Alligator mississippiensis: one gene and its partner. The protein of the gene in region 2 purifies or fractionates together with the protein of the main gene of each other region. This does not show direct contact. Links are inferred from orthologs where the notes say so. Each region holds a gene or a part of one and is shown on either strand. Other genes may lie near its edges. The genes, in order: PPP2R2C and SERTAD4.

Region 1 (16,571 bases), on a different chromosome or scaffold from region 2:
CCCTGCTGATGGCTCACATTAGTCTCCCAACTCTCAACTGTTAGGACAGGAGACAAAGGTTCTTCTTGTAAACTGTAGAAGTCATGACTGAGTCACAGGAGTTCAGAGGCAATTACAAATAGAGTGATTTCCAAGTCTTAAATAAGAACTTTCATCTTGCTTTTGTGCTGATTTTTGGAATATGAAAAAATAATTTTAGCTATTTTTCTTTATTCCATATTCACACAGAATATGTTTGTCTTTTGTATTCTTTGGTTTCTAGTATGCTTGAGGATGTTGTGGATATGGATCCGTTATTTATATTCTTCTTGTGAGTATGTTCTGTTGTGGATCTGGATCCTTTATTTATATTCCTGTGCTGTGTAAGGAAGCTCAATCAGGGTACTTCACAGATACTGTAGGACATCTATTTTGAACACACAACTGCACAAACAGGAGACTATGAATTGTGCATCTAAAGTGAAATCCTGGCTCTGATAGGCAATGGCAAACACCTTATTGATTTCAGTGTGCCATCAGGATGGCGGTGGTGATGGTGGTGGGGGGGTTCTTGGTTTTTAAGCCATGCAAGCTACAGAGGTTGGACCACTGAGGTATAATCTTGAATGTCAATAGTTAGTTAGTTTCTCCCTCCTAATATGAAATTAAGAAACCTTTCACAAGTTTTCAGTGTGAAATGTCCACAAAATTTTTAGTGTCCACACCTGAGGACAGGCTAGTGATCCAGGCTGACTTGGATAAACTTAGTAAGTGGGTGAACACAAACCTGATGTTGTTCAATACCGATAAATGTAAGGTACTCCACCTCAGGGGAAAAAAAACCCACAGCATGCTTATAGGCTCGGCAGTGCTATGCTTGCTAGCACCATGGCTGAAAGAGACTTGGGGTTCATGGTTGACCACAAGATGAACATGAGCCACCAATGCGATGTCGCAGTTGGTAAAGCAAACCAAACCCTGGCTTGCATCTATAGATGCTTCTCAAGTAAATCTCAGGGTGTCATCCTCCTGCTGTACTCGGTCTTGGTGAGGCCGCAGCTGGAGTACTGCATCCAGTTCTGGACTCCACAATTCAAGAAAGATGTTGAGAAGCTTGAGAGAGTCCAGAGGACAGCCATGCACATGATCAGAGGGCAAGAGAATAGGCATTATGAAGAGAGGCTGAGAGCCATGGGACTCTCCAGCCTGGAAAAGTGCAGGCTCAGGGGGGACCTGGTGGCTGCTTATAAGTACATAAAGGGTGTACATCAGGATCTGGGAGAACGTCTGTTCACCAGAGTGCCCCAAGGAAAAACAAGGACCAATGGTCATAAAATCCTACAAGACTGTTTTAGGTTGGACATAAGAAAAAAATTCTTTTCTGTCCGAGCCCTCAAGACCTGGAACAGACTCCCTCCAGAAGTGGTGCAGGCACCTACTCTGACTCATTCAAGAAACGTTTGGATGCTTATCTTGCTGGGGTCCTTTGACCCTAGCTGACTTCCTGCCCTTTGGGCAGGGGGCTGGACTTGATGATCTTCGAGGTCCCTTCCAGCCCTAATGTCTCTGAAATCTACAGAAATGTCCATGATTTTTGCCACTGAGTTTTAGTGGAGCTGGGGTTTTATCCCCACTCATTTTGCCTGCAAAACAACAAATACAAGAATGAATGCAAACGAAAGGGGAGGAAGTACACCAGCTCTCTCAAAAAGTTTGAGTCTTTGATATAAAATCAGTTTGTTTACAGCATGTACATTCTGATTTTAAATGAATTATAGGTATAATTTCTATTTTGTTATATTTATAGGATCTGACATCTCCTCCGTGAGCTGTAACTAATATTGTCATCCAATATTTATGATGTGTTAGCTTCTTACAAATATAGAGAAAATTCAGAATTATAACCGGGCCTATATTATTCCTATTTTTGCCTTTCATCTTTAAAGAGCCTTACAAACTAGAAACACATGTAGCAAACAGGAAAAAGGAGCACTATAACAAGTTAAAGAAACAAAGGGAGAGAAATTAAGTGACTAGCCTTTGATGATAGCACAGGACAGTGCTAGAAGTAGACTTAACATCTGATGGTTATTGGATCCCAGGCATGGGTATCCCGCTTGCCTGTTGGTTTATCACTAGGTTCCTTCCTTTCACTCCCTCAGCAGGGTAAGATGACAGCTGGTAAAGGGCACTGGCAGGGGCAGTGCTAGGGGAAGGCTTGTGGGGTGGGGCCACCCCAAAATTTGCCTTAGTCCCCCCTGTAGCCACCCCTTCCAGTATCACCCCAGTCCAAGTCCCCTGCCTGCCCCACGCAGCTGTGGCTGCACTGCTTCCGCCCACAGAGGTGCGGTGCTCCTGGCTTGGGCCAGCCTGCGGGACCCACGTCCCACCTTTGTTTTGCAGAGCCTCCACAATTTTCTGTCTAGCTCAGTGTTTCCCAACCTCTTCCAGCCCAAGGCACACTTACATTAATAAAATGTTTCCACAGCACCCCTGTTAAGGCATTCTCCATCCTCATACCTATTGTAGCTCATTGCCATGGCAACATTCCACAGCACACGTGTTCATTTACTATGGCACACTTTTATGCCATAGCATACTGGTTGGGAAACACTGGTCTAGCCCACCTCAGCCCCCACACCAGGAAGATGCTGGTGCTGCCCTGGGCACTGGGATCCAATTCAACAGCCAGCCAGTCGAGCGTTCCATAGTTCCCAATGCACGGGACAAGGAGGTGGTACGGCGAAATCGGAGAAGAGATGGGCGTGTGGGGAGGGGGGTGTGAGAAAGAGTAGGACTGGGTCTGCAGGCTGGCAGTGGAGAGACAAGCAGCTTTAGAGCTGGGACTGGAAGGTGGACAGATGGACTGAGATAAATCTCATTGCTAGAAGAAAGTCAGCAGTAACCACTGTTCCAACCCTGCAGCCCCAGAAACTGGCACAAGAAGCAAGGGAAAGTTTCTGCTTTTATACAGAAAATCATAGGGGTTAGGGTCACAAGCTAAAGGACCAAAGGGAAGGAACAGGTAAAAGGTAAAGAAAAATCAACACTGTAGTAACATATGCAACTCTTCTGCCAAGCATTGGTCAGCAGTAACAAGGGCTGGGTTCAATTTTGAGATGCTAAATATATTTTATGTTGGTTCGAGCCCCCACCTAGACCACCTGGGAAACACTAAATGAATTACTAGGGTGTCTCGCATAAACAAACCCCCCTCCTCGCAAACAGTATAAACACAAACATCCACATTTATTACGTAGAAAGAACAAAACAAAAGAAAACATTAAATATAATTTAAAAACACCATTACTAAAAGCAAAGCCTCTTGGGGGAGGCTTCACCCAGACCCAGGCAGCCTGGGATTTGGGCTCCCCGTACCTGCCCGTCAGCAATGGGCTGGAGAGGGGGCCCATACTGCTCCTGGGGTTCACTGTGCCACAGGGAGCTGCTTGAGGGTGGGGGTCCTTCTGCATTGCAAGGGGCTCCGTTGCTCCTGGAGACATGGTACAGCGCCGACTCCACTTTTACATGGCGGCTTTGAGGGGTTAACTCTGGTTTTCTTCAGCATTACTGCACCCCGAAATTCCTAGTCCCAATCCCAGTTTTGCTGGGCAGAAAAATGGAAAAGGGCTCAAAGGTAAAAGGTCAGGCCTATCTTGCTGGGCCTGAACTGGGCAGCAAAAGTTGGCCAGGCTTATAGTGCACCAAAGCCTGGATAAACTAGTAGGGTCAGATCTCACCCTGGCTCAGACTGCGCCAGGCTTTACCCTGGCCCAAATCTACCAGCCAAACATATAGTTGAGGTTCAGCTGCCCAGCTAGGCTGAAATGCAGTAGCTGTGAAACAGCAAAAAGGGCTCAGGCCTATGGCTGAAGCCTGGATATCCAGTTTCAGCTATACGTATCACAATGCTGAGACACTACAATTCCCAAACGCAGGCCAGTAACTGCCACGACCCATTCCTGGGCAGTTTGCTCCAGGGATTAATACCCCCATGGCATTAACCCATTTAGGGGAAAAAGGGGTGACGGGAAGGGAGGAAATAGGAGTCTCAAACTCCGAGACAGACTTTTTCTCCCTGAGGCTTTCCTGTCCCACACATAGCTTTTGCTTGCCTCTCCAGTGAAGAGGGGGGAGACCCCCCCCCACCAGGGAGCAGGTTTTCTGGCTCTCACTTCAGCTGTGCGGCTCTCAGCACCCCCAGGAGAAAGAGAGAGTGACCCTCAGTGAGTGGTGTGACACCACCCAAGCCTTGTTCAATTAGGGACTCCCACAGCCCAGCTTCTCTCTTGCTCATCTTCCTGGAGGACCTTCTGTTTTAGGCCAGAAGGTTTTACATATTTTGCCCAGATACAGACCCCAGCTTGCCAGATGCTGAGCACATGGCCAGAGCAACAGGGGCCATCTTGCCCACATACAACACCCCCCCTGGCCCCCATGGTGTGGGTGTGGGTGTTACACACATGGAACTCCCAGAAACCCACAGGGACTGGGGCCGGGTGGGGGAGCAAGGGAAAAGAAGAAGTTTGAGGCTGGATTAAGGGGAAGAGAGAGCGGAGTGTACGTGGAGCCTGGTCAGCCCGACGCAGAGGAGTGTGCAGTGGGGTTGGAGATCTCAACCAGGGCTGTGGATTGAAGCAGCTGGACTCAGACTTGGGGGGAGCTGCAGTCTGATTGGCTGATTGTAATATTTGGTTCTGCTGTGCCCCTGTTTAATCAATGAAAAAGGTGAAGTATCTGTCTAAATTTAATTTGGACCTTAATTTCATTCAGCACCTTAATTTCCCTCCTCCTCTAGAGGTGTCCCCAGACAAGCCTTTAGTCTCTAGAGCACTCAAACTGCAGACTGCAGCGGCCCCCAAGTCTGAGTCCAGCTTCTTCAATTCACAGCCCTGGCTGAGGTCTCCAACCCCACTGCACACTCCTCTGCGTAGGGCTGACCAGGCTCCACGTACACTCTGCTCTCTCTTCCCCTTATTCCAGCCTCAAACTTCTTCTTTTTTTTTCCTTGCCTCCCCACGCCCCTGTGGGTTTCTGGGAGTTGCAATCCAAATGAACAGATTGTTCTGCAGCTCTGCAGACTGCCCCCTGGTTCCACCTGCTGTTACACACATTACATTCACATTACCACAGCAGGAGCTACAGCAAAGCAGCTTGCAGGAAAGGGCGGCATGAGAGGGTTGCATTAAAAGTTAGCCTTGCATCTCTGTACTGGAGTGCCTGCTAAGGACAGGGCTTGAAACTGTTGGTTTTGAACTGATCGATAACTGTTAAAGTAGTTGTGCCTAGTGTATTGCTGCAGGGATGTAGGTTCTAGCCGTGTTGATCTAAGGTCATAAGCAGATAATGTTCTTTGGGTAAATTTGATATCTTTACCTAAAGAACCTTGTCTGCCTAGTCTACTTGCTAGCATTTCTTCTTCAGTATCAGCCTCATGCCCCTGGCTGCCTCCTGCTGTTTCCCAAGCCCAGTGCACTGCAGAGGGAGTGTAGGCACCTAATTGCAGGCACGCACTCCACTCTGGGAATCATAGAATCATAGAAAATTAGGGATGGAAGTGACGTCAGGAGGTCACCCCCCTAGTCCATCCCCCCGTTCAAAGCAGCACCATCCCCAGCTAGATCATTCCAGCAGGGGCTTTGTCAAGCTGGGCCTTAGAAACCTCCAAGGATGGAGATTCCATCACCTCTCGAGGTAACCCATTCCAGTGCTTCACCACCCTCCTAGTGAGAGAGTTTTTCCTAATATTCAACTAAAACCTCCCTTGCTGCAACCTGAGACCACTGCTCCTTGTTCTGTCATCTGTCACCACTGAAAACAGCCTATTTCCATCCTCTTTCGAACTACCCTTCAGGTAGTTAAAGGCTGTCACTAAATCCCCTCCCCGTCTTCTCTTATGAATGCTAAATAAGCCCAGTTCCCTTAGCTTCTCCTCAGAAGTCATGTGCCCCAGCCCTCAAATCATCTTCATTGCCTTCTGCTGGACTCTCTTCAACTTGTCCATGTCCTTTCTATAGTGGGGGCCCAAAACTAGACACCGTACTCCAGATGTGGCTTCACCAGTGCAGAATAGAACAAAATAATTACTTCCCTCAATCTGCTGCTAATGCTCCCACTAATGCATCCCAGTATGCTGTTAGCCTTCTTGACAACAAGGACACACTGGTGATTCATATCCAGCTTATTATCCACTGTATCCCCCAGGTCCTTTTCTGCAGAGCTGCTGCCCAGCCAGTCAGCCCCCAGTACTGTACTGGTGCATGGGATTGTTCCGTCCTAAGTACAGGACTTTGTACTTGTTTTGCTGGGCAGAAAAATGGAAACCTTGTTGAACTTCATGAGATTTCTTTTGGCCCAGTCCTCCAATTTGTCTAGGTCACTCTGAATCCTAGCCCTACCCTCTAGTGTATCTACTACTACCCACAGCTTGGTGTCGTCTCCAACTTGCTGAGCGTGCACTCCATCACATCTTCCAGGTCATTGATGAAGACATTGAACAAAACTGGCCCTAGGACCAACTCCTAGGGCACTCCTCTTGGTACCAGCTGCCAACTAGACATTGAGCTGTTGATTACTACTCACTGAGCCCAACAATCCAGCTAGGTTTCTACGCACCTTACAGTCCATTCATTCAACCCATACTTTCTCGCAAGAATGCTGTAGATGGTATCAACAGCTGTGGCTGTTCCTGCTGGGTTTGGCCCATGCACTTGAGGTGTGAGGCTATGGCGCTGGAAGTGGGGGTTGGGGCCCCCCTCCGTTGCCTCACTTGCAGCACTGCTGCCACCGCCTGGCCTGAGCACAGCCCAATTTGGAGCAGCTTCGCGGGAACAGCCCACAGCCTGTCCGCTCCACCCTGTGGGCAGATCCAGGGGCACATGTCCCCCATAACCCTCCTGGGCTGCGTGCTCTCCCTCCCTGCACCCCCAAGATGAACTGCTTGTGGCTCTGTCCCCTGTCCCACACCAACTGTACAGGGCCTGCTCCTGCTTCAGCCCTGCTACCTACCTCATAGCTGCAGCCACTGGCGCTGCCCAACGTTTGGGGGGGCACATACCCCCTCCCATCTGTGTGCAGTGGAGGCAGCTCCCTCTGGGGGCTGGACTTTGTGCCTCAAGCCCCACTACACCTGTCCCCTGGGCCTCCGCCCCTTCCCTGCCCCACAGACTGAACTGCTGGACTGAGGGAGGCACATGTGGGCATGCACGCACTAGCTCAGCCCCCGCCAACCACAAGATCTATCACTGATGTAGACTGTCACAACTCTAGTACTTTTAACCATGTGAATATCTGGGATCAACTTAAAAAATTCTGGGTTCTGGGATCAACTTAAAAAATATTTATGTGGCGTGGTATTTATTAAAGATATTTTAAATACAGAAATAACATGTCAGGCATGCCCACTATGAAGCTTAGTTTATCTAGTAAAAAAGTGAAAAATATTATATATAGCTATTGTGGATAGCTAAGATTCAAGTTGCAAATTTCTTCCACCTTGCAGGGAAGCATTCTGTTGCTCCCGTATCTGTGTGTTAAGGTTAAATGTTCATTCAGCCTGACTGGTTGGCTGATTGTAATATTTGGTTCTGCTCTGCCCCTGTTTAATCAATGAAAAAGGGGAAGTATCTGTCTAAATTTCATTTACTTAACACTGGAATCCCTAGAAAGTGATGATTAATATTGTCTACTGTAGCGATTCTGGTGTCATACATAGCATTACACTTTCTGTTTGCTTATGTAGCGTTCAAGTAAAATTAAGCATGTGACAGACCTTACTGAATTTATCTTTAATAACCAAAGTATTAGATTCATTTTCAAAAAAGGAGCTGAGATCTGGAGATCTGGCATGACACACCCAATGCTGCACAAGTTGTCTGTGTCAGGTGCTGGAAACTAAACTCAGATGTCTCAAATTTAAATCCAGTGCATAAAATGCAAGATCATTCTTTTCTCCCTTAATTGCTTACTGACCAATATTTCCTTTTCTTACCCCAGTGGTGGCTTAATATTGATGCACAGAGTGCTTTCATTACTTAAAAAAATCACCCTCTTTTTAAAGCAAACACTAGTACAGTTTAGGTCTTAGTTTGGAGAAATGGCAATATTTTCCCCAAAGCTTGGGAACCACGCTGGCCCATTCCATTAAAAGAGTTTAGTAGCATAGACCTTTAAAACTGCATTTCCTTGAAAGGTTTTGGCAAAAGGGCAACCTTCATTTTACAGTGCAGAGGAATATATTTTTCTTTCCTTGGCTTCCCAAGGGGCTCGTGCTCTACATTCCTTTCTCGGGGTGGGGGATAATGCAGTGAACAAAAATAGTAAGGAACTCCCACCCTATATATAACCTGCAAGCACAGCCTGTATCCACCTTCCCCTGCTGGTTCAGTCTGTCTGCTGTGAAACCTGAGATTTTTTTCTCTCTTTTTGCTGCTTATTCCTTTATATGTCCTAATTTGCTTTTTAGCTACAGAACTAGAGCAAGCAAAGGCTGTGCTCTAATATATTCTTAAGATCTCCTCATTTCTTAACCGGTCCTTTTTCATAGGCAGCTTTTGGGCAGTTTCATTAGTGCTCATTCAAACTGACATTGAACGACTGTTGCTTTTGCTGCTTATGGCAGTATTGACCAGCACCAAATTGTAGCTTCACGCTACTGTGGAATGTGTGTCAATGCAAACCCATTTAAGTTAAGCAGCCTGAAGTTTTTTTCCTCTCTCTTCCCTTAAATCTTCTGTTGCCCAGCTTGCCAGCAGAAGAGCTCAAATAATTACCTGCAGTCTCATTTTTCACTTTACTACATGCAGATCTTGTGTGGTTGGGCAGAGAGGCTGGCTGGGAGGGGCCTGCTCTGATGCAGCAGAGGCATATGACAGCAGTAGCAGCAACAGCAATCACAGAGCTTCACCAGGCAGCTTTTGCTGCAGTCCGCTGATTGCCACTTTCTTCCAGGCAGCGAGATTCCACCGCAGCGAGCCCTTGGAGCAGACTCCGCATGGGAGCTTGTTTAAGGAGTACCTGACTAAACAATTGGGTTATTCTTTACCTGCAGGAGAAGTGCCTGTCTTCTCTTTACACAGGTCCCCTGCTGTGGCTTCCCCCCCTCCCATCATTAATTTATTGGAGCTATTTTCCTCCCTTCTTCTTTTTTTCTTTATTACTGTTCTCATTATTCACTTCCCAAATCTGTGCTGCATCACCAGCTCTCATGATGCTGTGCTCAGGAGCCCAGTGTGTTCCCCGCCTCTGCTAGGCAGTGGCAGCATGGATGGTGCTCTTGTGACGACCTCTGCTGATGCTATCAGTCCACTGCGGATAGGCATGCTGAGTAATCCTGCTGTCAATGGGCGAGGACACGGACACACGGAAAATTAACCACAGCTTTCTGCGAGACCACAACTATGTGACTGAAGGTAACATGAACATTGTGTTTATTCTCTTCTGCTCTTTGCCTGTCTGCCTGGGCTCTGCAAGGAATGCACTGTCATGTTGGGATGTGTAAGAAAATGCATTTTCCTGTGTAACAGAAGCAGAGTCCGTTTGGATTTGCTGGCACCCAGGTGTATTTTGTCACACTGCCACACTGTGCTGAACTGCCTGGGCTGGAGAAGGGATTGCATTGGGATCAGGGTGTGCTAGCGAGGTGTGCAGCACCCAGCTTGACTTGCCTCCGAGATGCACTGCAACAGATCAGAGGCGAGGATGGTTTAAAAAAAGATAGACTGTGCTGCTTTAAGCTAGGAGCTGTAATGTGTAAAGTTAACTGTTTTGCTGGTGTCATGAAGGTTATGCATCTCATTTTGGCAATAATAGCAGCCTGATCACCACAGAAATTGCTGAGTTGGTTGTTCCCTGGAGGACAGTATAAACCTAGAAGGAATATGTATGCATGGTCTTTGGAATACTGCGGTGGCTTCCTCCCATCCTCTAAAGACCTGCAAGGGATAAGAGGAAAGAAATTAGACCTGCAGATTGAGTCTTTAAATGGCTGGTGGCTTGTTATATAAAAAAGGAGGTCCTGGCAGGTGACACACGTTTTACATTAGGAGAAGTTACCTGTCAGCCATGTAAATGTAACTGGTCAGGGGACTGAAGAGCTCTATGCTTCATTGTTGAAAAGTTGTTTTAAAAATAGGTCATCCTAAGACTGAATGAACAGAAGAAATGTTTTGTGTGTGGCTGATTCCCAAGCATGTATGCTAAGTATTAACAGTGCAGTGTTTTAGAAGCAGGAAATGATAGAAGCAGTATTTTAAATGTCGTCTTACATAATACGAACATACAACATCAGGGTCGACCAATACTGCTTGAGCCTGAATCTCCAGATTGTGTCGTCATTCGATTAGTGTTCAGCCACCTAACGTTCTCCTGCCGCATCCTGAAATTTGATCAGTTGATTATTGATGATTTGAATTTTTTAGGAAGCAAGAAACAGCAGGCTTATTTAGCTGCACTAGGCATGCAAAGCTGATTTTTTCAGAGGGGAAATTGCAAATACTATGCTTGCTGTCTATAAGCAATGCCATTGGTCAGTATAATCATTTGGTAATCTTGCCTCTAGGGTATTCTTTGCTTTCTGGTTCTTGTTTTTGTCCATTTTTTTGGTTCATGTTTTTATTGTCTGCAATGTGTTGTCTGTTTTCTTTCCTTTATCTTGAGGTATAATTACTTGAAATAACATCCAAAGAAACTTTATGTCTTAAATGTCATGCCAAGGACTGCAAAGATGTGCTGCATGACTACTGCAGTATACTGCATGCTGAGGTTGTGATGCATATGTGTGGTACTATAGGAGCCTTTTGTTAAAATGGTGACTCTGCAAATGCCTACCAGTTTTTTTAAAATAAAGACATTATCTCTTTTGGCTTTAGTATAACATTGTACTTTTAAATTGCGTGCTGCAATAAGTGAGGATTTTAGAAATTGTACAGTGATGTTTAGTCAGCATTGCTGTGTGCTCTGCTGACTCACTCGTTGGCTGGAGCACGCTTTAGCTTCACGTGATATTCAGAGCAGAAGCTACTGATACTCTTCCATGGGTGCTGCATGGGGACTGACCTACCCAAATCAGATCAGAAAAGACTCTGAATAGAAATGTCAGCTTTTCCTTATGAGAAGTCATGTTACCAAAAGTCTTGCTTAAACTGCACTGTTGTGTGTGGCTTTGACAGGTGAAACAGGATATTTTATATAGTAAAGTGTTGCTTTGGGGGCTGTTCCTCATTTTACGTATTTTACGGAGAAAGGGCAAAATGGTCAGCATCAGTCCAGCTGTTCACCTCTTCTACATCTCAGAGATCACTGATCAGTTGTATTAAGCAGAGAATGAGCTTTTCTTTTTTTGTGAAACTCATCACACTCCTGGGGACACCTTCAGTTTTCCACTCCTTTAAACACTACTATTTCTAATGTGTCACTAATGTAATTCGGCTTAAAAGATACACAGGTGTTTATATTGTTGTTGTTGTTTTTTTTAACTTAAAATAAGTTCTTCCTCACTGAAATAAGCTTACAACTTTTTCCTTCATAAAGCTTTCAGTGGGACATAACTTGTCCCGTTTTTTCCTACTATATGCCAGGTTTAAGCACAAGTTGGCTAATACAGACTACTGAGACAGAAAAATATAATTTGCCCTGATTATATTTTTTGGCAAATAATACTATTTTATAATAAAACAAATTTGGTTTTGGCTCTCTGGCCTGGTATTAGTACAACTGTTTTATTATTCACCCTCTGACACTAAAATAGACTGAAACAGAGGTTTTATGTTTTACTAGTTTCAAAACAAAAAATAAATTCTTGGCATTTTACTCAGAAGATCTGAAAAATACTGATTGCTTTGAGTTCACAGCTAGCTTCTTTTTTCTCTCTTATACTTAAACATTTAAAATTGCTTTAAGGGACTTCTTCAAATTTTCTTTTCTATGCATGTTGCTCCATGCAGCAAACTACATTTGTTTTCGACAAGGAAGTCCTTCTGACCTTTGTATGCACTTTTCCATCTCTTTTCTTTGGAGAAAAGAAGGCCACTGCACTCAAGAGGACATCAGTAGTTATCTGTAATAATGTTTGACTTCCTTCCCTATTTCAGTGATGAATATCAGTATTGATGTAAATGACCAGGTTACACCCAAATTTATACTGTATGTTATGATGATGGGACAAATCTGGTTCACTTCACTTATGCTAGCAGACCAGTTGATTTCAATGGAACTACTTGAATGAGTAAAACCAATAGGATTTGGTCCTTTATTTTGTCTACATTTTTTATTCCTACATCATTTTTTAAGTGCCTTGATTTATACAAGTATGTTATTTTATTCCTTTGAAGTTTTTTGTCCAAACAATGAATTGCCCTTGTTTTTAGAAATTGGGCCATTTTTATAGCAGCTTATTGGGTTTGGTTGGGGTTCTTTTATAACTGTAACTTTGGTTTTGATCCTAACATGGTTCATTCAGGTTTTGGGTGAAGTCATTGAATTTGCAACAAGTTTGCATTTGGCCCATTTGTTCATTTTTGCTTCTAAAAATAGTTTATACCGTAAGTGGTTTAAAAACAACACAAATTCAGATAGTGACGGCAACATATTTTTGCAAAGTTGTTGCCTTTAATAAGTGGTGTGTTTTAGAAATTCTGAAGGTGAACTGAATTAGTGAACTATGTTTTTTTCAGTACAATCTCTGCTTTTTTATCCTGCACTGTGGGAACTGCAGGAGTTCATTTTAAGCACAGAATACTTTCCTAGCCACTGAGAAAATGTGCTGTAAACATAGCACCCACAGAACAATGTAAAGCAGAGAATAATGATGCAAAGAGAAGAGATGGTATAACATGGAAAGGAATAAGGGGCAGTATATTAGTGCCAATATATATAAAGACAACTTGAGTAGGAAGAAGAATACCATTTTCTGAAATAGAGAAATGGTGAAGCACCAAGAGGGAAGGAATGAGTGAGGAGCAAATGTTGAGTGCTCTTGGGCTAGGGACAGACATTCAAAAAGCTGGAGCCTGAATTGATTCAATCTTTGCAGGTTAGTCTAACCTGTATAGATTGAACTAATTTGCAAGTGAATAGACATTCTCTTTTGATTCTGGGAAAGCAGTCACATGCCTGCGGTGGCTCAGGCTAGAAGCTGGGGGGCACTAGAACGAGCCCTCCCTTTCCTTCCTTTCAGAAGCAGCTGCTGGGCATGCCTGGAGGGCAAGGGAGGAAGCAGCCCTTGCAAGGATTGTCCTGAGGCCAGACACTGGCCAGGGCAGTGGCTCAGGCTAAGGGGATGTGGGGTTTAAACTCCCCAGTCTCCATGCAGGCACAGGATCCCTGCTGGGTTCCCCCTGCTTCTGCTTGGGTGGTGGGAGGGCCGGCCAGAGCCGGCCAGCATGGCCCTCCTATCCACCTGGGGCTGGGGCTGTGGCTGCAGCTGTGGAGCTGAGCCGAGTTGGGCTGCGGGTGCTGCTGAGAGCAGACACGGAGGGCCCTTCCCAGCTGTGTCTCAGGATGGGGCCATGGCGGCTGCGCAGCCAGATTGCTCCCCTGCTCCCAGACCAGGTGGGGCTGTCATGAAGCCACAGCAGTGGCTGCGGCTCTGTGACAGCCTGGCCCAGCAGCACACATTTGGGCTGGCTGGGTAGCGGGCTGCCTGGGTGGCTTGGAGGTGCCAGTGGGCCCCGAACCTGGAAGCTGCTGTCTGCAGCTGCTGCTGCACCCCCTGTTCTGTGCAGCACCCGGCGGCTGCCCCCACATCACAAGCTGTGGGCTGGCTGGACTGTTCTGTTCCCCTCACCTCCAGATGCGGCTCCTGCCGCCCTGTGCAGTACTGCTCAGGGTAGGGGGAGCCCCGCAGCTAGCGCCCATGTCGCTGTGGCTCCAGCTGCCTTCCATCCCCTCTGCCCTCCCAGCGTGATGAGCAGACCCTGCGGATGGAAGGCAGCCAGAGCTAGAGCTGGAGCTCCATGCGCTGGGCAGCAACTGCTGGGCTGAAGCTTCTCTTTCGCCCACCCAGAGTGGTGCGGCAGGGGTGGAAGCAGCAGTGGCCGTGGCAGTGGCAGTTAGAGGCGAGAGGGGCAGAACAGGCTGCCTGGCCCACGCTAATCTGCAGCATGTGGTGCGGCTGCAGCTGCCAGGTGCTGCACAGGACCGAGGGGATGACGGCAGCTGTGGCAGGTGGCTGCCAGGCTCGGGGCCCACCAGCGCCTCCCAGGCAGCCTGCTGCCTGGCCAGCCCGTGCCCGTGTTGCCAGACTGGGCTGTCACGGAGCTGCAGTTGCTGCTGCGGCTCCATGACAGCCCTGCCTGGCCTGGGCTAGGGGAGCTGGGACCAATCCGGCCGTGCAGCCCCCATGGCCCTAGTCTGAGCTGCAGCCCGCTGGGAAGGGCCCGGCCCCCATGGCCCAGCCCGGGCTGGTACCTCCACATCCACTCTGCAGCACCTTAGGCTGGCTCAGCTCAGCTCCAGCCCCAGCCCCAGCCTGGAGCTGAGCAAAGGGGTGGGGCCAGCTCTGCTGTCTGGAGCAGACAGCCCAGCCCAGCCCACGGCTGAAATGCATGCTGGGATGCTGAGGGACTCTGGATTAATTTAAACTAGGAAGGGGTCTGGGACAGAAGTTGCATCAACTGATTTGACCCAAATCAGTTAAGTATGATACTACTTTCAACCAGGCGTATCTTAAACCAGTTTCAGACATTTTGAAACTGGTTTATGGTCACTGAACTTATGTTCTGTTACAGGTTTAAACCAGTTTCAGATCACTTAAACTAGTTTATGTGTAACTTCTGTCCCTAGCTGAACAGGAGCAGGAATATCCTTCTTTTTCCCTAGGATAGTGCTCAAATAGGACGTTAACTATGACTGTAGTTACACATTTTTGTGACAAAAAAATAAAGATCATTAATGATAAAATATAAGGAGCTGGCACAAGGAAATAAAAAAAGAAGAGAAAGTGCTAGGGAGGCATCTAGAAAGGATCAGAAAGGAAGGAAGGAAGAAGAGGTGGTCTTAATGTAGCAAGGTATTTAAATATACTGTATGCCTACTGTTAAGCATGTTAATGGTCCCTCTAACCCTACTGGGATCATCATTTGCTTAAAGTGAGTTTGATCAATACAACAGTTCCAGTAGAAACCATGAGATTAGCCTAATGCTTACATTTGGGCATATGCTTATGCAAGCAGCTGAATTGGGAGCCAGATGGATGAAAGAAAAGGAAAACATTTAGAACTGTGACTTGTTATACATTACGGTTTTTTTCCTGGCAGAGAGGGATTTATGGGGAAAGGAATGCAGTAGAAAAAATGCTCAAACAAGCTATACTTTTGGCAGCTCTGTGTTCCATAGAGTAATAATGGAAAATGGGGGGGGCGGGGGGGTGGAATCACCACAGGGCTGATACAATCATCTGGTAGTTGTGGAAGGAGAGGGTTTGTAGCATCTCTGTGAAAAGCTGATATAGAGAACTGTGTTTTTGGAAAACGTCAGAAGTTGGTGGCATTGAGAAGCCCAAGTGTTCAAAATGTCAATGTGCCAAGTCCTGCATTAACTTAAACATAGCCTTTTATTTTTTATCTCAGGATTCTTATTTGCCTTTTGATTTACTGAACATTTAAAACTCCTATTTCTAAGCTGTTATCTCAAAGCACTTGGAGAAACCATTTTTCAGTCTTTCTGTAGGTAGGTTCTAAGGGGAGGGGGCATGGCCTGAGCAGTTGTTCATCTTTGCCACTAACTCAGGAATGATATTTTCACAGATCCCCTCTCTTCTTGTAGATCTGGCCAGTAAAAATCACTGAGAGGAGGTTGTTCATAGTGCATTTTTCGCAGAGAGGCAGGTTCTTACCTTGGTTATGTCCTTCTAAGCACAGATGAAGTCAGTGGAGCTGAAAAGATGGAACTGAGGATGGAACTGGCTCTTTACGTATACTTTTTATATAGTCAAATGGAACAAAAGGTAATCATGTTAAATGTAGTATAGTATCTGAGGTGCAATAAGAATTACTGTGATATTGTAAAATAGAATATTGAACCATATTTATAACCATTAAAACAAATACTGTATTTAGTATGTGGAATGAAAATGTCATTTTCATAAAATGCCTTCACATGTTGGGAATACAGTGCTGGTTTTTAAAACCTTCCAGAGAAAACTGAAAGCATGAGATATAAAAAGCAGGATGCCTTTGTTTTTAACTAAAGTTATCAATACCTTTCCTTGCTTAAGCTAAGTCAGAGAAAGATGTCCATCTTCTCTTGCCAACAACAAGTGTCTTTGTAAACTGGTGATTAGTAAGGATCCTAAAAAAACATAAAAGACCTTTTATATGAAGAAGTGCTAACCCACCACAGAGTCTTCTGCTTATGTAGGAGTACAAAGGAAAGTTGGCATTGCTATACTGCAGTGGCACTCAACCTTTTGGTCCTGCGGGCAGGGTGAAGGGGCCAGTCCATTGGCCAGATTGGACCCTGTGTGCCAGGACTGGGCCCTGGGGCCCTGTGCCAGCCCACCTGATCCCACGTGCTGGGATTGGACTGCGGGGGGCCCCATGCCACCTCTGCCCAGTCCTGTGTGCTGGGACTGGGTTCTGCACTGCCCTGCATGC
Region 2 (16,661 bases):
CCACTTGCTCCTTGCTCCATTCCATCCACTGAAATGGTCAGTGGGGCAGTAGATAATGTTGAAATGAAAGTGTGCTTTCATCCACTCTAAGCCATATGTTGGAAGTCAAGTCCACATGCTGATGGCTTTCTTTACAATCATGACAATTTGAAATTTACAATTATTAAAAAAAAGAGCCTAAGATCCTATGGAGTTAAAATATGCCAGACTGGGTACATAAATACATTGGCCTTTTGCCTGATACACCTAGCTTAGATGCTGTACTGGACATTTGGTCATTAATGGGCACATCCACACAAGATGTTTCCTGTAGAGCTGCCTGATTAGCTCTGCTGTAAAGTCTCTCCATCTACATCTGTGATCCTATTAGGTTGCAGTAAACTAATAAACTCTGCCACAAGTTAGTACATGTAAATACAAGTACTATCCTGCTGTGGAATTTTTTAGTGTGCTGTAAAGCATGTGTAGATGCTGACAGGGCTGGCTGGGGCACTAGGATGCTTCCATGTAGGGGCTGCCTGCTCGCTAGGCTCACACTGGAGCACTCTTGTACTCCAACCAGCCCCTCTGCAGCACTTTGAGCCAAGGTAGAGCAGCCCCATGCTAGCAGGCTGACCCCCTGGGCCCCCCACCAGCCAAGGCTGCTCTGACTTGGCCCAACGTGCTGTGGTCCTGGGTATACATTCAAATGGTAATTTTATTATTGATTTCAGTGGGTACTTCCACATATAAATTTGGGTGAAAAAATAAACACCAGCACAGCTTGTACTGGTGTTTATTTCTACTGGGCACAGTGTTTACACATGCATCTGGGACTGCAGCACATTGAGCCAGGGAAGAGCACCCCCAGGGCTGACAGAGGGTCTGGGAGGGGTCAGCCCTGGGTGGTGGTGGAGGGCAGCAGAGGAGCTGGTTGTGGCACAAGGGTGTTACAGTGTGGGGCTAGGCAGCAGGCAGCACCCGCACTGAAGCACACTTGTGCCCCAGTCAGCCCCACTTTTCCAAATCCTAGATCCATCCCTGACTATGCTATGTGGTCCTGAGGCTTTCGGGGGTGATTGGTCCTTTGCTCCAGGTACAGCATGAGCCCTTTGCTAGAGACTATGGAAACATCTACACATAGACAAGTGGGGTGCAGGGACAACTTGCCCCTGTGCTGCTAGTGCTGCTGATATGCTGCCATGGGGGCAGAAGCCAGGCTTGAGTTGTGAGGTGCCCTGGGGTTCTGTCGGGCTGGGCACCGTGCCATGTCTGTGCATGGTGCCCAGCCCCCTCCTTCCCACCCCCCCACTCGGAAAGGGTGGAAAAGCTGAAGAGCTGAGGTGAAAGCACGGAGGGACACACAATCCAAAGGCTCCAGACGCCCTCTCCCTTGCTCCCCAGTACACCTTATGCTGATGTATTGATGCTGCTCAGAGCCGTTCCATTCTAGACCCGTCTTCCCTGGACCGCAGGGCCCAGCTGAAGTGCCCAGGCAGGAGCAAGTGAGGCTCATTCCCATTTCTGTTTTCTTTCGAGGGATGACTCAATCCATCATTAAAAAAATTCCAACTCCCTACTAAAAATGGCATCACAATCAGTGCCCTGGAGGAAAAAGAGACGGGGAAGGGGGGAAATGTGAAAAATGGGTCCTATTCCTGGCTTCATTTTCTTACACACACACAGCTGATGTTCGTCTTGTATTTGAAAAGTTTATTTTGAAAGGACAGGGGTAAGGATTCTGCGACAGGCTTGCTTTGCAAAGACTGGATCCAATTTTCGGAGTCTGTTGCCAATTTTTGTGAGTCATTTCCTTGGAATCCTACCTTTGGTGTTGATTTCCCTTAGAAGGAAACTTGTAAAAGAATAATAATAGCTCTTATTCTTCACGGAAAGTAGCACAGTCAAATGGAAGACAACTCGCTCTTTGTTCCAAAACACTTTTCTTTTCTTTTTTTTAATTTGTTTTGTTTACTTTCTTCAGCGGACAAAAGTGAACAAGGCAATGTAATTAACCCCATAAAACATCTAATTTATGGTGCCAGTGACATCCGTGTACTGCTCCACTGGAGTGAAAAGTTAACTGGGTAGGCAATTTTAATTGGTGCTTTTTTTAAAGTATGAATAACGAGTGCCACCTTATGATTTTGGAACTTTCTCATCTAAAGCTGCTTTTGCCTTGCCAACCCACCTTGACTTGCTTGACCACTTTTCTTTCTATTATACCAGACACAGTAATCATATCCACTATGTGTTCAACTTCAAAAGACAGCTGAAAAGTTAACTATCTAGGAAACATCATCGGTGGCAGCCTATAGTAACTGGAGCCCCTTTCATCTCCAGGATGTCAGTATTCTCCAAGCTAAACTTTAATTGATTTAAATGGATACAGGATGGCATTCTGTACTTTTGGAGGATTTATGCAGCTGCCAGTGATATGGCTCAGAACACTAGAAGTATCTTCTTCTCTTACTTGAAGATACCCTCTGGACTTGTATTATTCTCACAGAACAGGCAGGACCTCTCAAGCTTTCACCTGGAAAAAAATTGTACACTGTAAACATTTTAGAACCCAGTTTCATATCTACCTAAATCTTCCAATGAGAAATAGGTTACAAACTTTTAAATATTTTTCATATTCTCATAAATTGAAGTGCAAACTATAATGAAGACATGCCTTTCCATTTAAAAGTTAGCTGTAATGAATTCCAGGGGAGAAATTTAGGTGTGTTTATAGAATTCCAGAAGACTTGTTAGAGTCATGTACTGCATTTAAAAACCAAACACTAAAGAAATAATTAAAACCCCATTTTGCCATTTTATTTGAATTCTATTTATGATGACAAGTAATAGATGGAGGGGGAGGCATGCCTGTTAGTAGTACTTAATTATCACTTAATTAACCCTAGAATATCACAGGGAAATGTTGGATGTTAAGCCATTTAAAACCATTCTGTTCTGGTGTTTTCAAAAGAAATGGTAACAAGAAATTAAGGTCTGACACTGGAAAGCCAAAAATCCAAAAAGAGCATTCCAAAGATCAGGGAACATTCCCAGTAGCTTCAGGGAATCCCAAAAAGGTAACCTCAAGAAGCTGTAATTGCAGCATTCCAGTGGGAAAAGGATGAAATGAAAAAATTCAAGGCATCTGGACATGAAAAAAGTGGGTGACATACTTGCTTAAGATTATATCTTGAGAGCGAGCCTGGAACACGTAGATGTGGATCATTTAAATTAAGAGAGAAGTCAGAGAAGCAAAGGATAACTAAAACATTTCCCTGCCAAGGCTATTTCTTAACACACAAATCACACTCTGATTTCATGTAAATTCCCTTTGCTCTGAGCTGTGTCCAGCATCAGAAAAACCAGTGGTTTGCTTGAGTTTCCCTGATGCGAGGGCCAAAAACTACAGGGAAAAACACTAGACTTGGCAAGCCTGCAGTCTATCTGCCTCAGAAGGATGAAGAGCTGAATTGACCCTGTTGGCATGTAAACCTGTTGTTCTACCAGTCTAGGTTAGTCTAGTTATTTCAGTCTTGACTTAACCCTTTCATTGCTGTCACAACATGCATATGTTTGCAGATCAATAGTGGTATCTGCATTTCCAGTACAAAATGTACTTGAATGGATGAACAATGAGGCCCTGCATAATCTTACTCCCACCCACATCCTTGCTCCCATTTCCCTTCCTACCCTTTGCTATTTTCCCAGTTCTTTCACTTTACTTTTTACTTTACCTCTGTGTTCTCATCTCAGTGTCATACTTTTTATCAGGCTGAAACTGTGGTTCATTCAGTCTCACTCTCCTCTTTTTCTGTCCAGCACTTTACACTCTTCCTTCAAATTAACTTATTCAGTAAACTTTTCTCTTCTCCTTATCCATGAACCTTGCACCCTCCTTCACCTCAGCTCTTGTCTAACATTCTGCTCTATGCATTTTTGTTGTGCTTTTTGTGTTTGATTGAAGGTTGGCCCATGCAAGGAATGTCTCTGCATCTGTGTTTTTAAACATGCTGTATAGTTGTGGTACCACTATATTTCATTAATGTAAAGAGCAGGTATAACAGATTTTCCACTGTCTCTCTCTCCATCCACTCCTGTATCTCATCTTACCTCTCTGACTTCATGTCCTGGAAATCAGATTAAATTTCCCCTAACCCAAACCTAATTCTCTCTACCGGACCAAATTTCTGTCACTGCTGACAATATCAACATTCTCCCCATCCCCCAGCCCTTTATTTAGAGATCCTCTTTTACTCCTCACTTTCTTTTGCTGAGTGTAGATTGTGTCCAAACTGTGCTGCTTTATCCACAACATTTCTAAGGTATGTCCTTATTGTTTTTTTCCACCAATGAAAATTTGCATGTAGGTCATGATAAGCTCCCGTCCTGGATAGAACAACTTCCTCATGTTTGGACTCGCATCCCTCTGTCTGATCTTTTCAAGCACAGGTAGTAAGATAATTTAAAACCTCTTTTAAGACCTTTTCATACCATACTGCCATTACACTTGGGGATGTCTCCTTCAACTTCTGCTCCTTCCTCCATGACCTGCTGTTGCTGCAATGCTTGTTGCAGCAATTAATAACGGCCCAGCTGAACATGAGGACAGTTTACCCCTTATTTCTAATTTTGTACAAAATAGGTGTATATACAACATCACTTGTATTTGATTGCCTCTCCCCCAATGTTTGGATGGCACGTGTTCTGAAGCTGCAAGCACCTCTAGGCAGGGCTGTTACTTTGGAGGTGCTTGTAAAGTGTCTAACAAAATAAGACTTCTGGATGCTACTGCAATGGACATATTAAATAGTAACACTAAGCTACAGCCGATGAAGTTCTTGCTATTTTTGAGCACATGCATGAACAATGGCTTAGTATGACTAACAAAAGCAAGGAGATGCATCATTAACAATGTCATCCTGACCTTAAATCATACTGTTGTACTATAGAATTAGTACAGAATATATGGTAAATAGTGAGACCTCAGCACTACTTTATACAAGCTCAGGAGTTAAGAATGGAGTAGCTACTTTAAGTCTATTTTTGTGTCTTTATTGATCTTAGCAGGACCTGCAGCATTATTGTAACAAGCATTTTATATTTAAGTTCTGTTTTGAGAGGCATTCTAGAACTGTATAAAAAGCCCTTTTCATTGACATTGCATCAGGCTTGTTATAATGTGAATGGCATCATTACAGTTCTCTCATTAACATCATAATGGCTCTGGAGGAATAGTGAGTGAAAATCCCAGCAAGTGGAATAGAGTAGCAATGTATAGTAGTCTTACTGTGTGCAACTGCATACAGACAAAGTTTAACATTTTAACCTTCAGGCTGCTGTAGATGCCTCAGGGTGTCCTTCTACTGCTTGCATTTGGCTGGCAAAGTGGAAAAACTGTGGTAGCCTAAAGATTAAGGTCTGGGTTCAATAAAAAATTTTGACTGGGTTCCATGCCACCAATTCCCACACACGGCCCCCAAATGGATTTTTAAAAATTGAATCCAGTCCTAAGTATCAGCCTCTTGCTGCAATTTTGTACAGTGCACTCAAACATACCCTTTCATCTTTTGTATCAAGTGGTGTTAATAGAAGTGTAACAATGCATATGCTGTTCTATAAAGTTTCATTGAAATCAGTGGGATTTTGGACAGAGTCCTTATATTGCCTTAACAGTGGTGCTCACAGTTTTGTCCCAGCGGGCCAGATGAGTGGCACAGGGCTGGTCTGTGGGCTTAATCCGGCCCCGTGCTGCCTCCCCCTGCCTGAGATCGGGTCCTGGAGGTCCCACACCACCCCTGTCCAGCTGAGGTTGTGCCCTCATTCATCTTCTGTATCTGATCTAGCATGCATGAGACTCCTCACAGAACCCTAGGGAGTCCTGTGAGCTGGATGACATAGTGCCAGGGGGGAATCTAGCCCATGGCATGGGGGTTGAGAACCCTTGCCCTATAACAATGGGATATCAGTGGATTTGGGGCAGGGGTTGTGATTAACAAGCAAGGAGACCTGGGTACCATTTCTAGTTTTGCCACTTACTTGCTGTGTGACCACTGGCAAATCACTTAGAAATATATTCTGCCAACTTTAACCAAGGTAAATATTTTCTGAACCTGGAAGGAGATGCACTTAAATCCTGCTTTGTAGAGTAAGCTACTGCTTATTGTGAATGAACAGAGTAAAATTGGCAAAAACACTGAGAAGTAGACTCTGATTTTGCATGTTTCAGTTTCTGGATACTTGACTTCACACATTTTCAGAAATGCTGAGTACTCATAACACCCTTCAAAGGATTTTGGAGATGAGAGAAATCAGTGCTTCTGAAAACCAAGACCCAGGTGACTGGAAGCCCTTTCTCCAATGGGAGGATTGTTTTGAAAATTTGGGCTTCAGCCTTTGTGACCTTTAGTTATTTCTATGCAACATTAGTTTGTGACACTTAGCCATCTTTCTAAAGTATTCTGAGATCTACAGATAAAAATATTGGTTGTGGACTATATGGACTATTTGTTTTTGTTCTTATTTTATTAGAAAATGGTATGGAGGATAGATGTTGCTCATGGACAGTAACTATTTATAAAAGACAACCAACTTGCCTCTATTAATTTAGCATATAGTTAATAGCATGAACAGTTAATTTACTTTAAAAGCTGTCTGCAAAACTGTAGTTTTCAAGATGAATTTGCTGCTGTTCTGCCAAACTGTGCAGAAAGCATCCCAACATGTTCTTCTTTCCATGTCTTTTCTCTCTGATGAAACATAAAAAGACTTTGAAATGAAATAGTATGGGGGAAAAAAAACTGCAAGACTGGAAACTTTTTTTTGCCATATATTATCCTAATAAAAATATCTACAAAGGATATGCTGATTTATAAGAATTCATTAAATATGAAGAAATCCTGACTTCCCCACAGCAGCAGAGGGGTCTCTTACAACCCGTATTCTCTAAGGACAAATGCTAAATCTTGACATCATGCCAGCATCAGGAGATTGATATCTAGCTGTGAATGACTCCTCAGAGGAGGTTAATGAGAAGTAGATCAGTGCAGGAGAGCTCTCCAGTGACGGTGTAATCTCTTTAGGTACAAAATATTTAATTTCTAGCTAGTTCTCAGTCCTGGATGAGACTGAGACATTCAGTTGTGACCAGATTGGTCATATAGGGGGCACTCTAATGATGAAGTATAGAAGATACAGGGGATTTGATATAATATATGGTATGATGTACATGATACAATATATGATATGATAGTGGCAACCATTGATCCTCCTGGATCATGGTGTATGCCTTTGATGCATATGCCTGGGCAGGAATTTTTGGAGGAGTAGAGGCTGCCCAGACCTTCCATCCTCCTTTGAGGCCACTGAGACAGAATCCAAAGACCAGATGTTTGGTGCCTTCATGGTTGTAATCGTATGTGTCTGGGAATCAAATCCAGGTCTCCTGTGTGTGGTAGACAAGGAGTCTACCACTGAGCCACAGGGGACTCCACAGTATAGGATATGATAAAGGATATGCTATATGAGCTATGATATGATATAATATGACATGATATAATGCATCATGCAATATATGATATGATATAGGATATGTCATGAGATATAAGATGCTATGATATGACATGATACATCATACAATATATATGATGCATGATACAATATATATGATGTCATATGTGAAATATATGATACGGTATATGATATGACATAGGATATGCCATGCTATTGTGGGCTATGATATGATCTAATATGACATGATATACCTCATGCAATATATGATAGGATATAGGATGTCATGAGAGATGAGATATATGACATGATGCATCATACCATATATATATGACATGATACAATACAATATATGATATGATGCCATATGTGATATATATGATATAGGATATGGTATGCTATATGAGATACGATATGATATAATACATCATGCAATATATGGTATGATATAGGATACGTCACGATATATAAGATATATGATATAATATGACATGGTGATACATCCTGCAATACATGATATGATGCATGATACACGATCTGATATAGGATATGTCATGCTATGTGAGATATGATGCATCATACAACATATGATTTGACACATGATGCAATACGTGATCTGTTGTGATACAATATATATGATACAGGGGATGTCATGATATACGAGATGAAATGAATAGGATGAATGATTCGTACTAAGAGGATAGGCCATGGGCCATAACTGCCCACACCATTCTCTCCCTTCCCAGGAAAAGCAGCCTTAAGTGCCTGCTCCATTAGAAAGCGGGCGGAGAGGACTGCGTGCGTGGTGTTTCCCTGTTCCTAAGCCCGTTCCAAGCGAGCCAGCAGTCGCTTAGGAGGGGCAGCGCAGCAGCCGGCGGATGATGCTCGCCCCCTGCGGCCAGCCCTCCCGCCGCGCTGCCCCGGAACTCCCGCTTCCCGCTCGAGGGCAGGGCCACAAGGTCCCGGGGATAAACCCCTCTCGCTCGGCGGTGTCCTTCAGGTGGAAAGGAGAGAAAGCCAGATGCCAAGGCTTGCTCTCTCCCTCCCTTGCTCCGGCGCGGAGCGCCTCGCCTCGCCTCCTCCGTGTGCGCGCTTCACCTTGTGCCCTTCACCCCGGCCCCGCTCCCGCCGCACCACGCCGGGGCGGCTTCTACCTCCTGTTTGCGGGGCCCCGCACCCCCCAAAGTTTGCGTCCTCCCCGCTCCCGTGTCTCAGCAGCCCGCGGTCGCGCTCGGCTCCGCGGGGACCGCCGCTCGCGGCTTGAAACCGGAGCCGGGCTCTGCCTTCATCTCGCTGTGTTGTGACTGGAGGCAGCCCGGCCGGGGCCGGCGGGAGCGGCGCTTGCCACCGGGGTTGGGGGGGCAGAAAGCCGATCCCGCTCCCTCCACTCCCACACACACACACGCCTGAGCCGAGCCGCTGCCATCTGCGAGAGCCGCTGGGATCCCCCCTGCTCGGCTCCGCGGTTTGTTTGCGAGGGGCGGGCTCGCATCCGCGGGGCGGGGGCTCATCCCGGGATAGGCGGCGGCGGCGGCGGCGGCGCGGGGCGCTGAGCCGCGCTGTTTCCTTGCAGGTCGGCGGCGGCGGCGGGCAGCCATGACCCTGGTGCTGCCCATGAACAGGTTCTGCGAGCCCATTGTCTCGGACGGAGCCGCCTTCCCCCAGCCCCTGTGGGAGCCGCACTGTTGCAGCAAGGCCAGCGCCGCGGAGCCCGGCCCGGCCCCGCAGCCCGCGGGCGGGGCGCCCTGCCAGCCCCTGCCAGGTACGCGCCCAGCTCGGGGCCACGGGGTGGAGGGGGGTTGCTTGCACAGTCAAAACAAGAAGCCCCCTGGGCAGTGTGAGGAGGGGGCTGCTTGGGGGCCCCTTGGCACCAGCCAGCCCGGCAGGCCTGGGGAGGGGATGCAAAGACAGGTGGCAGCAAAGCCACTGCCCCCCTCTGCGGGCACTGCCAGGCAGGGGCTTCAGCAGCCCCATGCTCCGCTCCGTGGCTCTTAGGGTGCACAGAGCCCTGCTTGGCACGCAGGCGGGCAGCCAGCCCCAGTTTCTTAACTGCCCTAGGGCTCCGGCTGCCCCAGGGGTGGGTTTTTAATGAGCCAGGGGGGCTTGGGAAGAAGGGTGCCAGGGAGGGTGAGACGGTCTGGATTGTTACCCAGCTCAGCGCAGGTCTTGCTGACCGCCGGGCATGCCAGGTGAAGGTAGGAAGTAATGACGGGTGCTGCTGTAAAATATAATGCTCCATGCAGACGTGTTACATTTTTCCCCCCCGCTTTGCCACATGAGGTAGTTAAAAGCTGCTCCTGTTCATTTACTGGAGCACATCCTCTCGCCCTTGTCATTTCACAAGTTCCTTTCTGGTTCTCCCCCTCCTGGGAAATAAAAGCTGCCTGAAACAGAAAGATTGTCCACGACCGAATTTATTACGGTTGCGTGAAATTTATTTCAGTGTCGCAATGTAAAACTTCTTTTAACTCGGGCCCCCGGCATCTGAACGCGAGACACTGAGGAACGCAGCTCTTTGCCTGACTAGCTGGAAAAGTGGGAATGCAAGTTTTTCTAAACCAAAATGTATGAGAATGTCTATATATACCAGACGCATCAGTTTCCAGTGCTGTTAGCATGACCTTCGGCCGCCCATACTGACACATCTAAGGAGTTATTTGTTAGTAAGGTAGAAGTTTTTGTTTTTGATCGCAACAAATATGTAAAGATACGTGGTGGCGATATCCTGCAGCGAGTAGGAAAATGAAAAGTATTTTGTTTGGAGAACCTCCGGCAAGCCGCATGTCATTTGTCATATCTGATTTATTACCCACAGGCTCACATTACAGGGGAATTTCAAATCCTATAACAACATCCAAGATCACATACTTTAAAAGGAAATATGTGGAAGAAGAGGATTTTCATCCACCACTCAGCAGCTGTACACATAAAGTATGTTTTTAATAATCATTATTTTTACTAAGAGATTTAGATGCTTAGTAATACTTGCTTGAAGCAGAAATACTCTACCAAAATGGTGACAACGATCCAGCTGTTTGTATAAAAACAAACAGTTGACACATTTTTGGCCTAATTGTGTTATTTATTGTCATCAAATAGTTTAAGAAACAAAGCAGTTCCTTCAATGAGGATAACAGAAAAGATAAATACTCTGAATCACTTCCTTTTCCCATATAAATGTATTCATAAACAATTCCACTATGTTCATGTGGGGAGCGGGGCACCTGTCTAGTTTGCCTGCTAAAATTCACTAAGTATGTTTAAAAAAAAAAAAAGACCCTATAATCTCCCATTTGTTCATTAATTCATTCATTCATCATTGAGTTTCAGGGTAGGTTCTGCATGGGTATACTGGCCTAACATAAAAGCAGAATCACTTAAGGAAAGTATATTCTGCTCCAATGTTTTTTCTTATTCAAAAGATGAGCTTTAAAGATCAAACAGCATATTTTTATATTTCTTAAACACGGGCAAAAGTGGGGTTCTAGATAACATTTCCCAGGTTTGTGACAACATTAATTAAAATCTGATGTTACATGAAAGATTTAGAAAACTGCTTATGGTCCTTCTCATTAAGGGTTCAAAACATGCATAGTATAGACGATAGAGCATCCTCAGTTTTGTTCTGGAAGGCATCCTGAAACTTCAAGGGGTGATCTCCACCTGGCAGAATCATTTCTGGTTTCTGTGGCTGTGCTACATTAGAGATATGTAGAGACAGAGATGTCATATCTGAAAGATAGATAAGCCCTCCACCAGTGTATTTTATTTTCAAAATCTCTAAATGAGTGCCTTTAACAGGTGCTATTCTGACAGCCCTGGAGACTGAAGTCCTGTCTCCAGCTACAAAATGATTAAAGCAAGGACAGTAAGTTTCCCACACTGCCTTGCAATATAGCTCAGCAATATAGTATTCAGCTTTTACTTGGAGGGGTAACCTGCAGGAATGAGAAGGTAGTTTATCTTGTTCATATTTGCTGACAACCTCAGACCTGAAAGGAGAAGGTTGATAGTTGTGGTGGAAAGTCCCGTGGACAGATATTCACTTAGATGTGAACAAGCATTTGTAGGATCTAGCTCAGGTTTAGGCAGCTTAATTTAAGCCACCTAAAGCTGAATCAGGAGCAGTGCATGCAAGTATTCACTGCTTGCTGGGAGGAGGTGGTAGGAGCCTAGTAGGCTTGTACAAGAGGGGCTGGTGGCTCAGGTCCTGGGCTTTTGGGTCCAAGGGAAGTTGGTGGGTCTGTGATAAGTTGACAGGTCTGTGGTGGGAGGGAGGGGAGGAGGCTGCCTGGTCCCAGGGGGAGGCAAGGCGGTGTTGGTCAGAGTTAGGGGTGTGGAGTAGTGGGGCATTAAAACAGCACACCCTGAGGCTGTGGAGAGTGGCTGGACTTGCCTAGCCCTGGGCCTGTGCTGTGAACACATACAAGCATTCACTAGACTGAGTTAAACCTCGCTAGGCTGGATTAACACTCTGCCAATCTAAAGTTAATTCACCTCAGACCAGAACTAATTCTAGATTGGGGCACGCCATTTCTAGGGTGACTTAAGCCCTGTGCATGCTTGAGCCCTGGGGCATTTAGATTGCCCTAACCTTGATTAGGGCAGTCTAAAAGTAATGCTTGTTATGTACCTTTGGTGTGGAACAATTACAAGATCCCTTCAGAAATCTGAGAACACCAATCACAGAGTACCAGTTTTCAGTTACTGATGGCATTGGTTCTAGTAATTTATTGACCTAGAGATGGAAGCCTATCCTATTAGTACTTACCCAGTTCACTCTGTCACTCAGTCTATACAATATACTAGCTCTACTAAAAAATGTGCTTGCATATAGCATATTTTTAAAAGCCTCTAATTGCCACCATTTCTTTTGTCCTTGTGGTTTTTCACCTCCTTGTCTACTTCCCTCCCTCCCCATAATGAACACGTTTTTGTTGGAAAGGGGCAGACAATTTTTTTTTGTGGGGAGGAGGGAGGGAGGGAGGGAGGGATTAAATTGAAGACCAGATATAGGCATTGAGTTCCACAGTAAGTCTGTTTTATGTTATTGTTCTGTTGCTATTGCAAAAACGTATCGTAGGAAATCTGAGGTCACCAGTTTATTCTTTCAAGCACAAGTAAATTTTCTAATTTGCAACCTTACTGCTAGGGGGAGAGACAAAGGGAGATATTTCCCCCAGGCTTACTTGAATTGCTCACATATGTTTATACTCCTCTTTTCCCCCATTCATATGGACTAAGAAAGAGGCATGTTCTCAGACTTCCTTTTCCCTTTTGTCTAGTCACCGTGCGTGTGACCTGTTCAGTTGGTGCTGCAGTAGGATCTGGGTGGCAGAGCATTCACACTGTAGTGCTTTGGAACTTGCTTCTACTGGTGGTCTTTCATGGCACAGGTCTAGTGCTTTTCAGGTCACAGTGCAAGGCTTGTCTCTTTGGTGAAGTCTTTAATGAGCTAATGGATTATTTCTACAGCAGGGCATAAAGGACTCTGGTTAACCTATGGAGTTAATTTAAGTTAAAGCTAGAAATGTATTGTAGAAAATTATTACACCAGAGAAGAAAGTTCTGGTTGTGAACTTATTTGAAAAATAGTGCTAATTTTGGCTTCTGAAATGAACTGTGCTTCTACTGGTCTGTGCAGGGCAGACAGCAGCAGGCTGTGGAAAATACTACATGGTGTATGGGTACTGAGTACTACTGAAAAGTAGCTGTGTAGCAAGCTCTCCTGTCCCTTATAGCCACCATTTCCCACTGCAAAAATTCTGAAGCCACATGGGAAAAGGAGGAATGACCAGGCTGCAGATGGGGAAAATGAGAGCAGGCTCTTTGTGATGTGTTTCTTTCCTCCTACGCAAATTTTCCTGTTCTAAAAATGGAAATTAGTTAATGCTGCTTATAGTAGCAGATACTACCCCTCTGTACTTTGATTCCCAGGGTAAGGATTATGGCGAAGAAACCATGGTCTCCTGGGAGTAGTAACCTGTTCATGCTACCACTCCTGAGAAGGAAGGCCTACAAAGAAGCAGGGAAAAGGGAACAAATTTGTGGGCTTAGAGCCAGGGTTTTTTTACAAATCCCATCCTTTTTAGTTTCCTGACTTCGTCCCTGCCTATATATGTTCCCACTAGTCCCACGGATGGCTGGGTGTATCACTCAGCCCAACAGCTGCAATCCAGATGCTACAATCCTTTTGGATTGCTTTTTTGGTCACTACACACATTTTTGTATACAATTGCACTGTAAGAATTTGGTTAATGGAGACTCCTCATTGCAAGAGCCTGTTTAATTGCTCAGTCACTTCTGGCATGTGAACTGGCTGTTGACTGAGCCTTGTTTAACTTTAGATAGTCCTTGTTGTGATGGCCATATAGCGAGAATCCACCTTTCATTTTAGCACTGGAGAAATCCAGCAGTGCATAGGTTCCGCTCTGTTAACAAAAAAACCCTCCATACATTATCAGTATATCAATGCAGGGGAATTACAAATGGAGGTTACGCATACAGAAAATAAAGAGTCAGATTTTTACAACTAGTGTTTGGTCACTCAAAAACCTGGATTTGTGTATGCTTGCTTACACATACAGAATGCTTAGTCTTTTATTTTTTCAGTTCAGATGCTGGTCAGGAGATCTGGCTACCAACAATTGGGCCTTGGAATATATGGATATACAAACCTCGTAGCCCAGGTTGAGATCACTTGGGAACTCTGGCCCACCCAAAGTGTAAAACAGTGAATTTGTACACTGTCAATAAAGTGCTTAATTCTGTAACTGCATGAAGTGAAATTGGCTCATTCTTTTCTGTCTTTTGTGTCTCCGTTTTCAGACAATCTCAGTTTTTGAGGAGCGGGCCCATATTCTCTACATGTCTTTGGAAAAATTAAAATTTATTGATGATCCTGAAGTCTACCTGCGGAGATCTGTCCTTATAAACAATTTAATGAAGAGAATCCATGGAGAAATTATCATGCAAAACAACTGGTGCTTCTCTGCTTGCTCTTTTGGCAGCACCTCAGCACAAGAATGGTTCATGTCACAAGACTGTCCCTATAGAAAACGTCTCCGGATGGCAAAAGAGGAATGTGAAAAGTTCCATACATGCTGCTTTTATCAAGAGTGTGGCAGTCACTATTTAAATTTGCCATTCTCTGTTAATACTAATGGGGAAAATTCTTCCTCCTCCTCTTCCTCCTCCTCCCCTATCTCTTTGCCAAGTTGTTCCCAACAGGTGGATTATGGCATTGGCAATGCCCCTGTTTACAGGAGTGATGACCATATACTTGCCAATGAAATATTCATTACTAATGCCAGGTCTCATGGTAATCAGGAAAAGGCAAAATTAAATGATGAGAAAGGAGGTAATGAAACTGAACGAGATGGTGTCACTCTAAACTGTGAACCGATGAAAGGCGACCTTGCTCTTGAATGTAAAGGCAAATTTTATGATTATTTTGAGACTGGATCTAATGACAAGAGCAACATAAGTGAATCTTGGAAAAAATCCTTGAGGAAAAAGGAATCTTTACCAAGTAACAAAATGTGCTGCAGCAAAGGAAGTAAAATATGAGACACCCTTTTTTGCTGTAACTTTGACGCATGCACGGCATGTTCAGTTATCTATCAAAATTGTATTTTGAATGGATTTTTTATAGTTTTGTACAACTGATACAATCATGCCACAAACATTATGCGTATAGTTTTAAATGACTGGAGAGCAGATTGCCTAAAGCATCTGTATGATCAACATCAGTGAGCTATTTATAAATATGGAGACTTCATAAAGAGCACAGTTGAATTATTGCTTACAATTATAGTTTAGCTTTTGTTACTGAAAATACCAACAAACCAGCTGGGGAAAACATACCCTTTTATATATCCCCTCCCTCAAGAAGTCTACCATTAATTAAAAGGAACCCCCATTATGCTTACCAATTAATTAGATGTTTGGTAAACGAATTGATATTACCAACAAGGGTGGTCTGCTTCTTGTAAGACAATATTCATTGTGAGGAAACACTGGTTATGGTGGTTGGGGAATTAACTCTACGTACTCATACTGACACAGTTAAATTCCTGTATTCATTCTTATTCAACTGACAAAAGCCAGGATGTAACATAATGAAATACCTGTTCATTGGATCTTAATCAGAAACACCACATACAGCACAATCACCTTCATGTTTTCAGCTCAGCTGCAATCAGTAATGAGGTGTATGGTGGTTTGTTGTTATACAGGGCAGATATTTTTTGTGCCTTATTTTGTTACCTTAATTTTTTCCAGTGTGAAAATTAAGTATAAAATCAGAGCTACAGCAGGGACTTAACCTAAACAGAAAAGAAAACCAGGGTGGATCAATTTTATTAAAAATCTGTAGCCTTTGAAATATCAAGTTGAACTTCCTATTGAAACATCTATATTCTTCCTTTTTGATGCTCGATTGCTTTTTGATTTGCCATCCTTAGGAAGGGATTTAAGAAACAATAGAGAGATGTCTCTTGTAAACAAGCATTAGATGCTTGAGCATTTCTATGGCAACTGTCTGTTGCAGAGGCTCTTTTTGTATAATGAAGTTCATGAACCAGTGGCATGTTTTATACTTTATTCTGTTTCGCATAATTTCTCTCTTTTAGATTGCAAAAGCATGCAGGGGTTTTATATGACTTTTGCTGTTGATTTTTAAAAGACAAGCAGAACAAAGAGCACAATGTTAATAAATGACGTGGCGATAAAATTTTATCTGAAATGAATGTATGGGTTTTACTTAAAAAAAAAAAAAAAAAAAGATTATTTTGGAGAAATGGGTGGAGGTTTCAATGGTTAGGGGCAAAATGCAGTCATTTTTGGTTATACCATTTTCAAATGCACATTTTTGCAACCATGCTTAATATGGTGTTCAGGGGTGTGCTAAGAATATTGTATGTCCTGGATCCACCACATTTTGGGGTTCCCACAGCCTCCCCCCCCCCCCAACAACTGGCAGGAAGTGCTGTGTGTAACAGTGAAATCCAAGTCACACATGATGCCTAATTACTTTCTGTTTGTGCTTGGGGACATTGCAAATCCAAACTGTATCTCTTTCACATTGGTCTTGCCCTAGAAACAATTAGCTGTAATCATGCTTCCCACTTTTTACATGGATGCAATTCATCCATGTGCTTGGGACCAGATCA

What was found.
Region 1: the proteins of SERTAD4 (region 2) and PPP2R2C purify together in Homo sapiens (affinity purification with mass spectrometry; 3 studies listed by BioGRID and IntAct, counting the BioPlex papers as one, with this or other methods). This does not show direct contact. The link is inferred for Alligator mississippiensis from reciprocal best matches to the Homo sapiens genes SERTAD4 and PPP2R2C.

The regions. Positions count from the first base shown.
Region 1 is NC_081825.1:26,447,142-26,463,712, forward strand, and holds the start of PPP2R2C (protein phosphatase 2, regulatory subunit B, gamma), read left to right. Parts: upstream 1-8,791; 5' UTR 8,792-9,319; coding exon 9,320-9,389; intron 9,390-16,571. UniProt on the Homo sapiens protein: The B regulatory subunit might modulate substrate selectivity and catalytic activity, and might also direct the localization of the catalytic enzyme to a particular subcellular compartment.
Region 2 is NC_081824.1:191,539,212-191,555,872, reverse strand, and holds the start of SERTAD4 (SERTA domain-containing protein 4), read left to right. Parts: upstream 1-9,002; 5' UTR 9,003-9,084; coding exon 9,085-9,250; intron 9,251-10,303; coding exon 10,304-10,419; intron 10,420-14,316; coding exon 14,317-15,057; 3' UTR 15,058-16,661.